Kluyveromyces lactis: one gene and its partners. The protein of the gene in region 3 interacts with the protein of the main gene of each other region in a biochemical or structural test. Links are inferred from orthologs where the notes say so. Each region holds a gene or a part of one and is shown on either strand. Other genes may lie near its edges.

What was found.
Region 1: the proteins of KLLA0_A04730g (region 3) and SCD6 form a complex in vitro, tested with the Saccharomyces cerevisiae proteins (3 studies listed by BioGRID). The link is inferred for Kluyveromyces lactis from reciprocal best matches to the Saccharomyces cerevisiae genes TIF4631 and SCD6.
Region 2: the proteins of KLLA0_A04730g (region 3) and TIF5 form a complex in vitro, tested with the Saccharomyces cerevisiae proteins (2 studies listed by BioGRID). The link is inferred for Kluyveromyces lactis from reciprocal best matches to the Saccharomyces cerevisiae genes TIF4631 and TIF5.
Region 4: the proteins of KLLA0_A04730g (region 3) and PAB1 form a complex in vitro, tested with the Saccharomyces cerevisiae proteins (10 studies listed by BioGRID). The link is inferred for Kluyveromyces lactis from reciprocal best matches to the Saccharomyces cerevisiae genes TIF4631 and PAB1.

The regions. Positions count from the first base shown.
Region 1 is NC_006038.1:986,218-988,940, forward strand, and holds SCD6 (Scd6p), read right to left. Parts: upstream 1,394-2,723; coding exon 503-1,393; downstream 1-502. Other genes in the region: peptide alpha-N-acetyltransferase complex B subunit NAT3, read left to right, coding at 1-327; ANT1 (Ant1p), read left to right, coding at 2,076-2,723.
Region 2 is NC_006041.1:552,114-555,232, forward strand, and holds TIF5 (translation initiation factor eIF5), read right to left. Parts: upstream 1,770-3,119; coding exon 573-1,769; downstream 1-572. Other genes in the region: EMC2 (Emc2p), read left to right, coding at 2,300-3,119. UniProt on the Saccharomyces cerevisiae protein: Catalyzes the hydrolysis of GTP bound to the 40S ribosomal initiation complex (40S.mRNA.Met-tRNA[F].eIF-2.GTP) with the subsequent joining of a 60S ribosomal subunit resulting in the release of eIF-2 and the guanine nucleotide.
Region 3 is NC_006037.1:422,071-426,315, reverse strand, and holds the start of KLLA0_A04730g (uncharacterized protein), read left to right. Parts: upstream 1-1,387; coding exon 1,388-4,245. Other genes in the region: proteasome regulatory particle base subunit RPT6, read left to right, coding at 1-706. UniProt on the Saccharomyces cerevisiae protein: Component of the eIF4F complex, which interacts with the mRNA cap structure and serves as an initial point of assembly for the translation apparatus.
Region 4 is NC_006039.1:1,551,938-1,555,655, reverse strand, and holds PAB1 (polyadenylate-binding protein), read right to left. Parts: upstream 2,335-3,718; coding exon 556-2,334; downstream 1-555. Other genes in the region: chromatin-remodeling ATPase CHD1, read right to left, coding at 3,189-3,718. UniProt on the Saccharomyces cerevisiae protein: Binds the poly(A) tail of mRNA. Appears to be an important mediator of the multiple roles of the poly(A) tail in mRNA biogenesis, stability and translation.

The DNA of each region.
Region 1 (2,723 bases), on a different chromosome or scaffold from region 3:
AGGAGAATATCGCTTGCATCGATGCTATGTGACACATTAAAAACCATAACAGATAACTCCCCGCATAATGTGAACTTTATTGATTTATTTGTGAAATGCAATAACCAATTGGCGATCAGTTTATATGAAAAATTGGGATATTCTGTCTATAGAAGAGTTGTAGGATATTACAACTCGCAAACTGATCCAATACCTTCCCGGTCAACAAAACCAAATGACCTCAAGGATGCCTTTGACATGAGACATGGGATGGAAAGAGACCAGGGAAAAAGTCTTCGTGCTGATGGACGGAAACATAATTGCTTGCCGATGGACATACGGTTTTAATGCTGTACTTTTAAAATTATAATAGCTTTTAAATTTGTATACTTAGTGTTTCTATGTTACACATGCGTCTTTCCCTGCTTTTACTTCGATAGATTGCTCGATTCATTTCGTGTTAGCTTCAATTTCCCGGTGTGTTAAGAGGTAGTTGAGATAATAGGTATTTAATGGGGTTCTGTTAAGATTCAACATCATGGACTGGTGGCTTGTTGGCAGCATTACGATTTCCACCACGGAAGCCACCGCGGTTACCGCCACGGTTACCTCTATATCCACCACGACCTCTGAAGCCGCCACGACCATTGTTTCTTGGTCTGGCTTGACCGAAAGTATCCAAGTTGACCTGGCGTTCCTCTTCCCATTTGGCAGAAGACGAGTTTTCTACGGCGGAACTTGAAATGGAATCAAAGAATGAGGATTTTTTATCGTAGAAAATCTCATCTGTCTTGGAGGTTTGCTTCTCTTGTTCTATATCTGATTCTCTGGGCTTTTCAGCATTCTGGAATTTGGCGTTGTTACTTTCGAAATCAAATTCAGAATCTGGAACAGCAGAAGGAGCCACCGCAGCCACAGGAGCAGCAGGAGCCGCAGACTTCTGCTGTTGCTGGTTAGGAACTTTCTTTTCGGTAACAGGCTGTTGGCGGGTCTGCTGTCTTTGCTGCTGCTGTTTTTGCTGGTGTTGTTGGGGAACTTGCTGCTGATCCTTGTCTGGAGCGTACACACCATACCCGGCCACCGCAGCAGGAACGTTGGGCCCATTTGCATTAGCCAACGGAGCTGGTGGTTGACCGCTTACCTGAGGTGGCAATACAGGTTGTACTTGTTCCAAAGGAACGTCTAAAATGTTTAAATCCTTAACGTCATTACCGTTGAAAGGCACCGTATCGTAGATATTAGGGTTGGGATAGATTTCTTCCGGGCCCCATCCCTTGCGTCCCTCTGTACCGAAACAACGAACTTGTCTTAAAGTAACAACACCTTTCTCAGAGTCAATAGACTCCAATAAGCCGACATAACGGTTATCAGTATTCGAAATAAGAGCAATAGTCTTACCAATATATTGCGACATCCTTTCAAAAAGTGGACACTCTATAATCAATAAATTAACTTCTAAAACCCACTAGATACAAACAAATATCCTTCTTGAACAACGATCAAAGTGTGGGAATAGTTCTAAATTAAGAGCGAACGTTAGCAGATGCAGTCAGTATTATTCAATGTCATAGTCCCTTAGATTTCTAAAGATTCTTCAATTGGAAATACCTGCATGGAAATTCATAGTTTTGACGGTTTCAATATTAATTTTCGATGTTGACGAATGGCATTTCAAAACCACGTGATCAATATCAACACTTTTTTTTTTTCTTTTCGAAGAATCCTCACTTCGAGGCAGACGAGAGCCAAAAAATGTGTGGAGAAGGGACATTACAGCCGAAAAACTGGAAAATAATCTGTGATAAGTGACCGCTATTCATCTAATTGGGGAATAATTCTGGGAAAGTAACTACTATATAAATGGAATATAATTTCTAAGGTGTAAAGTGCAAAATGTTCCTGTTTTCAAGCCTAAACTCTTCGGTTGGAAGCGGAGAATAATAAAATCAAAAAAAAAAGTAAATTTAGTACTTTGCAGTGCTTATTGAATGAATCACCGCCCCTCTAACAATTTATTGTGAACAGGAGATAATCAATTTTATAAACGCCGAAGTTTAGTAGATCAGGGTCAATTAAATCACGTACCACCGTAACATATGGCAAGTTTAGAGAATGCTTTCGTTGGGGCAGTCTCCAGCGGGTTTGCCAATTTGGCAGTGTATCCACTTGATTTGGCGAAAACTGTGATTCAAACTCAGTTGAAACAAGGTGATTTGTACCCTTCTTCTGATGTTCAAGCTGATGTCTCTACCAAGGAAAGTACTGGCTCCAGTAAACCGAAGAAACACGGTATACAGCAGATTAAACCGAAGCCTGAACCTCCGACAGCGACTAAAGAGTCATTGGAGCAGCGGTATAAGCATGCATTAGATGTGATTGTAAAAGTTTATCGGAATGAAGGGTTTGGTGGATTATACCATGGGTTAAGCGCATCATTGCTTGGAACTTTCATACAGAGTTTCTCTTATTTCTTCTGGTATACCTTGATCAGAAGACATTATTTCCGTGTGAAGAAAGTGAAGGGTGAGGCTGCCAGGTTTTCAACAATTGAAGAATTGCTGCTTTCCATGCTGGCAGCAGCAACCTCTCAGTTATTCACTAATCCAATCAACATTGTTTCGACAAAACAACAGACTAGACGTGGTTTAGAAGGGGACAACAGTTTCAAGGCTATTGCCAAGGAGGTTTATGATGAGGATGGGATTACTGGATTCTGGAAAAGTCTGAAAGTCTCGTTAGTCCTA
Region 2 (3,119 bases), on a different chromosome or scaffold from region 3:
TTACAGTACGCCATAGAAATCAAACCTACAGATCATTCATGTAATGAAACCGTCTGATGAAAGTGTATTTTTACTCTTCTTCCAACAAGATTCGCACCCTATTCTTCTCTTTTGACAGGACCTAGTATTCTTCTTGTCCATTCAGGATGTAAATATGATTTGATCTCAAATTGTGTCTTCTTTTTCCACGAAAGTGTAAACAAAAGAGAGAAAAGGATCATCACAGCTGAATATTGAAAGACAATAAATAGGTTATAAGAAGACAAGGGCAGGTCGGCACGGCGCACCTATCAGTGCCATTCTTGAGCCGCTAATGATGTATGCGCAAGGTCATGAATGTATTAAACATATGCGTATATATGATAGTATACATACAGTATTTTACAGAGCTAAAGGATAAATATTGAAGAGATTTAGTTCGCTCTTGATAAAATGAAAATGATATTTATTCTGTTAATGCAAAACAAGGAGATGGTTAGGATGATAAATAGAAAACGAAACACCGAAAAATCTGGTTAAAATTTGAATAGTATTTGAACTTTGACCATTTTCTTATAAGATCATGATTTTCTTTATTCCGAATCCTCATCATCTTCTTCGGCAGTTTTCAACCAAGTGATGAATGGCTTGGCAGCTCTACGAACCTTCTTAGAAACATCCTTTGGTACAAACTTCTTAGAGCATTTGGTACCGAAGCTGATAATCTCTTCTTCGGAAATGATGTCGTTGTTGTATAATTGGACCAAGATCTTTGGTAGTAATGGGATCAATTCTTGGTGATCAAGTCCAAGGAATCTTTCAATACCACCCAAAAAGTTCTTTTCGAAGTCTTCGTCCTTCAATAATTTTTGCAAGAACGCAGTATGTTCAGAGATATCCGATACGATATCTTCATCGAAAAGAACTTGGGCCAGAACTGCAGCAACCTTTGGATCTTCCAGAAGCTCGAGTTCTGCAATCTTTTTGTATAATTCAATATCGGTAGGTAGTTCTTCTTCATGTAGTACCCATTCACCAAATTCTTCCAACTTGGAGAATTCGCCAGTTTCTTTGTCAGCTTCACCTTGTAATTCTTTCGCACGAGCTCTGATGGCTTCTTCAGACATATCAACGGCCCAGTCCTCATCCTTGACTTCAATGGTAGCCAAGTTAGAGGCAGCGGCATTAATTTGTCTGGCCAATTCATCATCATCGGAATCGTTTTCTTCGGCATCGTCACCAGCTTCAGCTTGGGATTTACCTTGAGCGATATCACTAATAGAAAGACCACCACCTCTGACATTAGCAGACGCAGTGGCAGCCTTCTTCTTTTTCTTGGAACCGTTCATACTGTCAGGAGGGTTCTTTAAGACGAACGAGGACAACTTATGTCTCAAATCCATAGGGGTTCTCTTACCACAAGCTTTACAGTCTCTAACCAAATCACCATCTTTAGTGATAACAATTTCAGTTTCAGGATTCTTACAGGATCCACAAAGGACAAACTTAGTGATGAAACCATCCAATACGTCCTGTAATTTGGCTGGTTGATGAGCACCATTGACAATGTAACGATCATTTTCAACATTGATAGCAGTTTGGGCACCCAATTCAAACCCGAAATATTTGATGATGTATGGAGCTGGTCTGTTTAAAGCACGGGCAACATCCATGGTATTCATAACAACAGTTTTGATACCATTACCTCTACCTTCAATCTTAGCCTGAATTGGAGGCATTTTATAACGGTAGAAAGGGTCATTGTTGTCTCTGCAAATATTGATTGACATCTTCGGCTACTGTTACTAATCTCTAGTCACTTGTTTCTGCTACCACCGTGTCTTTGACGTTCTTCAAGTCTGGAAAACACAAAAACTTTTAAAAGTAAGTTCGAACTGATCCTGTATTGGACTGTAAAACGGGGTCATTAACGCCTTCTTGAATCATGTATATGGAAGAAGTTCATCTCATCTCTTAGAAGTTCAACTTCAACTCTTCGCGTGTGGCAATCAGATACTGAGGCCTTGATTCCTGAAAAATTTTCGTCGTTTATGGTGATATGAAAATACATGTCGAAACGGAGCATGTGTCACGTGCTTTAGCTCCAACGATTCATTTGGCTCTGTGATTGTTTAAGCATCGGTTCTGTAAGAGACATATTACAGGGTATAACATGGGTGAGATACGTATGGTGGTGTTAAATGTTTGAATACCTTCAATACAATTACTGCTCGTGGAATTTAGTGAGTAATTTACTGTGTTGAAATTGTGCTCGAATCTCACATACATCTTAGGGTCGAAATCTAACTTTGTTCATATCATGGATTTACTTAAGAACAAATTACTGGCAATCCATAAGACTGGCGCATGGGCCATTCTGCCACCTAAAGAAATTGATTTGGCTTATAAGGAAACGAAACTTTTGATAGATGCTGGGTTAAATGGGCTTGACGAAATTAGTTATTTCTCAATGGTCGAATTATTGTTTTATCTTTGTCTTGTTCGTGGTGAAGACACAGAGGCTGAAACATTGTACAAAACTGTGACAGATCGTCTAGGTGACGATTCTCCAAGAATTCATGTGATGCACTCTATGTTAATACAGGTCACTCGATCCGATGATGCGGCTAAGAAATATATCGAGGATTTGATCAAGAATCAGCTGGAAATAGCTACTGATTCAGAAGACTACGTACAGATGAAGAAAAGGCTACTTGCGATAGAGAGACCTTCGATGAGTAAAGAAAAATGGGTAAAAGAACTACTGGATCTGGTTGAGAAGTTTCCTCTAGATGCAGAAATATGGTCGTTACTTTCGCAAGAATACCAGGAGGCTGGGGACCTACGTCAAGCAATATATTGCATGGAAGAAGTCATAATTGGGGTGCCGTTCAGTTATGAAGCATTTGGTCAATTAGCTTATTTGCATTACTTGAAGTCTCAATCAGATTCTGACCCTGAAGCTGCTTTGCAATCAAGTTTATCAAATGCGTTGAGATCTGTTGAGTTGGCAGAAGCCTACGTGAAAGGTTGGGGTATTGTATTGAAGACATCTCAGAAACTGAATAAAAAACCTGAATTAACTCAATTAGCTGTAAGAAAATTGCAAGAACTTCAGCAAAATAATGATAACAGAGAAA
Region 3 (4,245 bases):
AGAACTATTCGAAAGTCTTGGTATCGCTCAACCTAAAGGTGTTATTCTATACGGTCCGCCAGGTACTGGTAAGACTTTACTAGCGAGAGCCGTAGCACATCACACAGACTGTAAATTTATCAGAGTAAGTGGTGCCGAATTGGTGCAAAAATATATCGGTGAAGGTTCCCGTATGGTCCGTGAGTTATTCGTGATGGCTAGAGAACATGCGCCTTCTATCATTTTCATGGACGAAATCGATTCTATCGGTTCCAGTCGTGTTGAAGGATCTGGCGGTGGTGATTCCGAAGTGCAAAGAACCATGTTGGAATTGTTGAATCAATTGGACGGGTTTGAAACTTCGAAAAACATTAAAATCATCATGGCTACAAACAGATTGGATATATTGGACCCTGCATTGCTAAGACCAGGTAGAATTGATAGAAAAATCGAATTCCCACCACCAACCGTAGCGGCTAGAACAGAGATTCTAAGAATCCACTCAAGAAAGATGAACTTGACCCGTGGTATTAACCTAAGGAAAGTCGCCGAAAAGATGAACGGATGCTCTGGAGCTGACGTTAAAGGTGTTTGTACCGAGGCTGGTATGTACGCACTAAGGGAACGTAGAATTCACGTAACCCAAGAAGATTTTGAACTAGCCGTGGCCAAGGTCATGAACAAGAACGACGAAACTGCTATCTCTGTAGCAAAATTGTTCAAGTAAGGATCCTTCACCCCTTTCATCTCAAACAGCGCATATCATTAGATACATCCCTACATATTATACATAAGCCACGTACAACACACGCCTGTGGTTGTACCCCCGTGTCAATATGTTTCTAATCAGATCCTCTCTTTTTCCCCCTCATCGCATCTCATCTCGTCATAAACTTGACCATCATGTCAATCTTCTCAATATACACGAAAGAAGAAAAAAAAAATTTTTACATTGTAAAGAGGAAAAGCTGTGAATCTTTTGAAATAAAATTTCAACCTTTAAGCCATTGAATTTTACCATTACGATAGCACATTTTGCATAAAACAGGATAGAGGAAAAGAGGCACAGAGAGCTACTGCTGATCTGATAGTCAATAGATTTATCAGCACTTGTATTGTTTGAATTGTTAGAGAGTAACAGTGGACAGTAAAGAAACAAATCTGGGAAAAAAAGAATCTCACAAGAAAGTGATAATTTTTTTTTGTTCTTCGTTTATTTGTTTAAAGAGAAAGAGTTAAGAATTGGACTTTAATTTCATTCTACTCATTCGTGTTTCTATATAACTCGACTCGTTTTCTCTAGGTACTCTGGATTACTCGGTTACAAGAGAGAAATTAAACAGAAAAGAGCTTAGATCCAGCTAATTTCATCTGAAGAAGAGAGAAAGAGCGGTTTTTCAAAGCAGATATGGGCGAACCTACATCCGATCAGCAACCAGCTGTTGAAGCTCCAGTTGTGCAGGAGGAGACAACCAGTTCTCCGCAAAAAAACAGTGGATATGTCAAGAATACTGCTGGAAGCGGTGCTCCTAGAAATGGGAAATATGATGGTAACAGGAAGAACTCTAGGCCTTATAACCAAAGAGGTAACAACAACAATAATAATGGTTCTTCCTCGAATAAGCACTATCAAAAGTATAACCAACCAGCGTACGGTGTTTCTGCGGGATACATTCCGAACTACGGCGTATCGGCAGAGTACAACCCTCTGTACTATAACCAGTACCAACAGCAGCAACAGCTGTACGCTGCTGCTTACCAGACTCCAATGAGCGGACAAGGTTATGTCCCCCCAGTAGTGTCTCCAGCTGCTGTTTCAGCTAAACCAGCGAAGGTTGAGATTACTAACAAGTCTGGTGAACACATAGATATTGCTTCCATTGCTCATCCACATACTCATTCTCATTCTCAATCTCATTCGCGTGCAGTTCCAGTAGTGTCGCCTCCAGCTAACGTTACCGTCGCTGCTGCTGTATCATCCTCTGTGTCTCCATCAGCTTCTCCAGCTGTCAAAGTACAGAGCCCTGCTGCTAATGGTAAGGAACAATCTCCAGCTAAGCCTGAAGAACCAAAGAAGGACACTTTAATTGTGAACGATTTCTTGGAACAAGTTAAAAGACGCAAGGCTGCTTTAGCTGCTAAGAAGGCTGTCGAAGAGAAGGGTCCTGAGGAACCGAAGGAATCTGTCGTTGGAACTGACACTGATGCAAGCGTTGATACTAAGACAGGGCCTACAGCCACTGAATCTGCCAAGTCTGAAGAAGCTCAATCAGAATCACAAGAAAAGACTAAGGAAGAGGCTCCAGCTGAGCCAAAACCATTGACTTTGGCCGAAAAATTGAGACTTAAGAGGATGGAAGCTGCAAAGCAAGCTTCTGCTAAGACCGAGGAACTAAAGACTGAAGAATCTAAGCCTGAAGAAACAAAGACCGAGGAGCTAAAGACTGAAGAATCTAAGCCTGAAGAAACAAAGACCGAGGAGCTAAAGACTGAAGAAACAAAGTCCGAGGAACTAAAGACTGAAGAACCTAAGGCGGAAGAATCAAAGGCGGAAGAACCAAAGCCTGAAGAACCAAAGACCGAGGAACCGACGACTGAACAACCAAAGTCAGATGAACCAAAGTCGGAAGAATCAAAAACTGAAGAGCCAAAAACCGAGGTATTAAAGACTGAAGAACCAAAATCGGAAGAATCAAAGCCTGCAGAACCAAAGACTGAAGAAACAGCAACTGAAGAAACAGCAACTGAAGCAAACGCCGAAGAAGGTGAACCGGCTCCTGCTGGTCCCGTTGAAACTCCTGCTGATGTTGAAACAAAACCTCGAGAAGAGGCTGAAGTTGAAGACGATGGAAAGATTACCATGACCGATTTCCTACAGAAGTTGAAAGAGGTTTCTCCAGTTGATGATATTTATTCCTTCCAATACCCAAGTGACATTACGCCTCCAAATGATAGATATAAAAAGACAAGCATTAAATATGCATACGGACCTGATTTCTTGTATCAGTTCAAAGAAAAGGTCGATGTTAAATACGATCCAGCGTGGATGGCTGAAATGACGAGTAAAATTGTCATCCCTCCTAAGAAGCCTGGTTCAAGCGGAAGAGGCGAAGATAGATTTAGTAAGGGTAAGGTTGGATCTCTAAGAAGTGAAGGCAGATCGGGTTCCAGGTCCAACTCGAAGAAGAAGTCAAAGAGGGATGATAGAAAATCTAATAGATCATACACTTCCAGAAAGGACCGTGAAAGATTCAGAGAGGAAGAAGTCGAAGAGCCAAAGGTTGAGGTTGCCCCATTGGTCCCAAGTGCTAATAGATGGGTTCCTAAATCTAAGATGAAGAAAACAGAAGTCAAGTTAGCTCCAGACGGAACAGAACTTTACGACGCGGAAGAAGCATCAAGAAAGATGAAGTCATTGCTGAATAAATTGACATTAGAAATGTTCGAACCTATTTCTGATGATATCATGAAGATCGCTAACCAATCTAGATGGGAAGAAAAGGGTGAGACTTTGAAGATTGTCATCCAACAAATTTTCAATAAGGCCTGCGATGAACCTCATTGGTCATCAATGTACGCGCAATTATGTGGTAAGGTCGTTAAAGACTTAGATGATAGCATTAAAGACTCAGAAACCCCAGATAAGACTGGTTCTCACTTGGTTTTGCATTACTTAGTCCAAAGATGTCAAACTGAATTCCAAACAGGATGGACTGATCAACTACCTACAAACGAAGACGGTACTCCTCTACAACCTGAAATGATGTCCGATGAATACTATAAGATGGCTGCCGCTAAGAGAAGAGGTTTGGGTTTGGTTCGTTTCATTGGTTTCTTGTACCGTTCGAACTTATTGACTTCCAGAATGGTCTTCTTCTGTTTCAAGAGACTAATGAAGGATATTCAAAACTCTCCTACTGAAGATACTCTAGAGTCTGTATGTGAACTTTTGGAAACAATTGGTGAACAGTTCGAAGGTGCTCGTATTCAAGTTACTGCAGAAGCTGTCATTGAGGGTTCAAGCTTGCTAGACACACTATTCGACCAAATAAAGAACGTGATCGAAAATGGTGACATCTCCAGCAGAATCAAGTTTAAGTTGATCGACATTGTCGAACTAAGAGAAAAGAGGAACTGGAATAGTAAAAATAAGAACGATGGTCCAAAGACCATTGCTCAAATTCACGAAGAAGAAGCCTTGAAGAGGGCTTTGGAGGAAAGAGAAAGAGAAAGAGATCGCCATGGGTCCAGAGGTGGTTCCAGACG
Region 4 (3,718 bases), on a different chromosome or scaffold from region 3:
TCAGAGAAAGGTATATAAAGACTGATAAAAAAACCTTTTGAAAATGCGAAAAACCTCTTCATTAAAAAGACTACTAATGTCCTCCCATTAGAGCTTTAGTATTATATAAAACGGGTAGAGTAACAATAATAGTTAGATAGAAAAAATCAGTAAGAAAAAATTTGAAGAGAAAAATGGGGCATACCTCCGGATTGAATTAGCGGTATGGAGAAAGGGTAGAGTGATGTGATGGATTGTGGTAATATGGTATATGTGGAGCGTGGTAATTTTTTTTATTGGTAAAGATTAAAAGCACAACATTTTTGGCAACAATGGAAAGCCTGTGATGAACAAAAAAAAAAAAAGCGAGAGAAAAAGAAGAGTGGCAGAAAGTAGTTTATTTCGACTAGTTTAGGTCTATAACAATGCGTAAGCTAATTAGCACCACCCAGTTCCAATGCGTGAAGCTGAGACTATTCATATAGTTAGCTGTTCGTTTTTTTTTTTAATTTTTCTTTTTCTTCGGGGGAAAGATATAGAAAGGACAAGATGAAGATCAAGGTCAAAAAATCAAGTTTAAGCTTGAGCTTCTTGTTCCTTCTTGAAGTTTTCGTAAGCAGCTAAGGCTTCTTGGAATTGCTGTTCAAATTGTTCGTCGTTGTCCAACAATTGGATGACTTGCTGTGGTGGTAGATCCAAGATCATACCGGTGATCTTACCAGCGGCGTTTTCGTCGTCAATCTTGGCACTGACCTTCTTGTACAATTGTTCACCCAAGGCTTGTCTTTGCTTTTGTTGTTGGATGTAGTGTTGTTGTTGGTGTCTTGGGAATTGGTTTTGAGGTGGCATACCTTGGTACATTGGACCGTTTGGTCTACCAGCAAATTGTTGTGGTGGTGGGACCATACCGTTCTTTGGAATACCGGCACCCATTGGGCCGTTCATACCTGGGTTTGGACCTGGGAAACCTCTTGGGGCCATAACACCATAGAACATTTGTGGCATGTATTGGCCTGGCATACCAGCAGCAGCGGCAGCAGCTTGTTGTTGTTGCTGTTGTTGGAATCTGATTTGGTTTCTGGCTTGAATTTGTTGAGCCAATTGGGATCTTCTGACATCCTTTCTTTGAGCAATGGCAACGTACAATGGCTTACCGGCAACAATTTGTTGGTTCTTTTCGGTCATAGCCTTGGTAGCTTCTTCTGGAGAAGAGAAACAAACGAAACCGAAACCCTTAGAGTTACCCTCTTGGTCTCTCATGACTCTAGCAGAGGTGATGGTACCGTATGGGGCGAATTCTTCCTTCAATTTTTCGTCATCGATGGAATCGTCCAAGTTCTTGATGAACAAGTTAACACCTTGGAACTTAGCCAATTTTTCCAAACGGTATTGTTCGTATTGTTTCTTCAATTCTTCAGCACGTTCGTACTTCTTTTGAGCTCTGCCAACGTACAAAGCTTGAGACTTGAATTCCTTACCGTTCAACTCTTCAACGGCCTTGGCAGCGGCGTTGTGGTCAACAAAGTTAACGAAACCGAAACCCTTTGGCTTACCCTCAGCATCCTTTTCCAAAGCAGCAGAGACAATTTCACCGTATTGGGAGAACAACTGTTCGAACTCTTCGTCAGTGGTTTCAACGTCAATGTTCTTGACGTAAATGTTGGTGAAGTTAGCCTTGGCTTCTTCCAACTTGGAGATACGGTCCTTCTTTGGAACGTGCATGGCAACGTAAACTTCCAAACCGTTCATCAACATACCGTTGACGGCTTCAATAGCATCCTTAGCATCGGATTCTTCCTTGAAATGAACGAAACCGAAGCCTCTAGAGTTTCCATTCTCATCTAAAGCAACTTTACAAGACAAGACTTCACCGAAAGTGGAGAAAGTTTCATGCAAAGCCTTGTTGTCAATGGCTGGGTGCAAGTTCTTGATGAAAATGTTACCAGAACCCTTCTTTCTGATAGCTGGGTCACGTTCGGACCACATAATTCTACATGGTCTACCGTTGATTTCAGCATAGTTCAATTCTTGAATAGCTTTCTTACCAGCTTCGTAATCAGTATAGTTAACGTAAGCGTAACCTAACGAAGCCTTGGTGACGGCATCACGACAAACACGGATCGAGGAAATTGGACCCAATGGTGAAAACACATCGTACAACAATGCTTCAGTAATGTTTGGATCCAATTCACCAACGTACAATGAAGCGTTGTTGTTTTCAACCTTAGAAACAGAAGAAGCTTCGCTTTCAGAAGCAGAAGTGGATGGAGCACTGGCAGATTGAGCTGGTTGCTGATCATCGTTGATCTGCAAGTTTTCCAATTGCTCAGCAGTTTTTTCAGTAATATCAGACATTATGAGATGAGATGAGATGAGATAAATTTAACCGAAAAAGATGGCGGTTGGTTGGTTTTGTAATGTGTTTTTAAAATATATGTTTTTTTATGGTTTTTTAATGTGTATTTTAGTGTATTGTTTTGTTTAATACCCACACAGTTGCGAACCTTTGATGAAACTATTAAGTTTTGATTTAACGATGGATGGAAATGAAAAACCCTTAGTTAACTTGAATTCAAAAAGACTTCTAACTGGAATGTTTTGACTAATATTAAAAAGATATAAACCACGCTTATTCTTTTCTTTTACCAAAAACAATTAAAATACAGGATACAGATGATACCTTTAGAGAGTTTGCTGACTTTGACCGTGGTCTTTTTAAACAAACAAATTGCACAAAATAAAATGTTACAATAACTGAACCAGAAAGGTAATACAAATAAGTAACAAACGAAACAGTATAAACTAACCAAGATAACTAAAAACTTATAACAAATTAAATAAATGAAACAACATCACAAGAACTTATTTAAAATCGTTATATAATTCATCCATCTCTGTGAGAACAGTCCTTAATTGTTGTGATGAGTTAGCCAAAAAGTGAAAATTTTCATTGAAAAATTTAAAGAGTTGAAAAAGAGTTTAAAGCTTTTCCACAAAAGGAAAGGTAGGTACGTGCGAAATGATCTGAGGCATCACCACAACAAACCAGGTATTTTACTAGCAGCCGGCTGTTTCTGGTGCGCCCTTGTGCCTCATGTCATTTATGAAGGTAATAATAACTAATAGCAATATGTTGTTGATTAGATATCTTTTTTTTTTTCGTAAATTGATAGGCGTATATATCTCTATGTTTTGTTACATTTGACTAATTAATGTTCAGAGGCTTTGATTTTGTCGTACATCGCCAGGAGTTTGGAAGATGGGACATCTCTTGGCCAGTAATATGCAGTGAAAGACCATAAATGTCTTTTATATTTTTCTGGAGAGGTCTTAGACGAGTCCTTCTTGTGCGATTCGATGTAGTCACCAACACGTTTCAATTCCTTCTTCAATAGGTTAGCCCATTGCTTACGTTCAAGACCGTCTCCTCCAGATCTTAGACGTTTGAGTGAGCTACGGACGTTTGTCATCGTTTTCTTACACTCTTCTTCGTCCATACTGTCGTATTCTTTGTCAGGAAGACGGATATCGGCTTTTGGTGCCAACGGTATGTCTTTACCTTTCCTCTGCTGTTTTTTCGATCCGACGACAGGCGTACCAGATCTTGATGATGGTTGTTGATGGTGATGGGCCTTGCCACGCTTTGTTTCGGAGCTATTGTCTGGTGTAGAGTCCTTGCCGGTTAAGTTAACACTATTGCCGTCACTTGGGGTACCAGCGGTATGGGCATTTTCGTTCC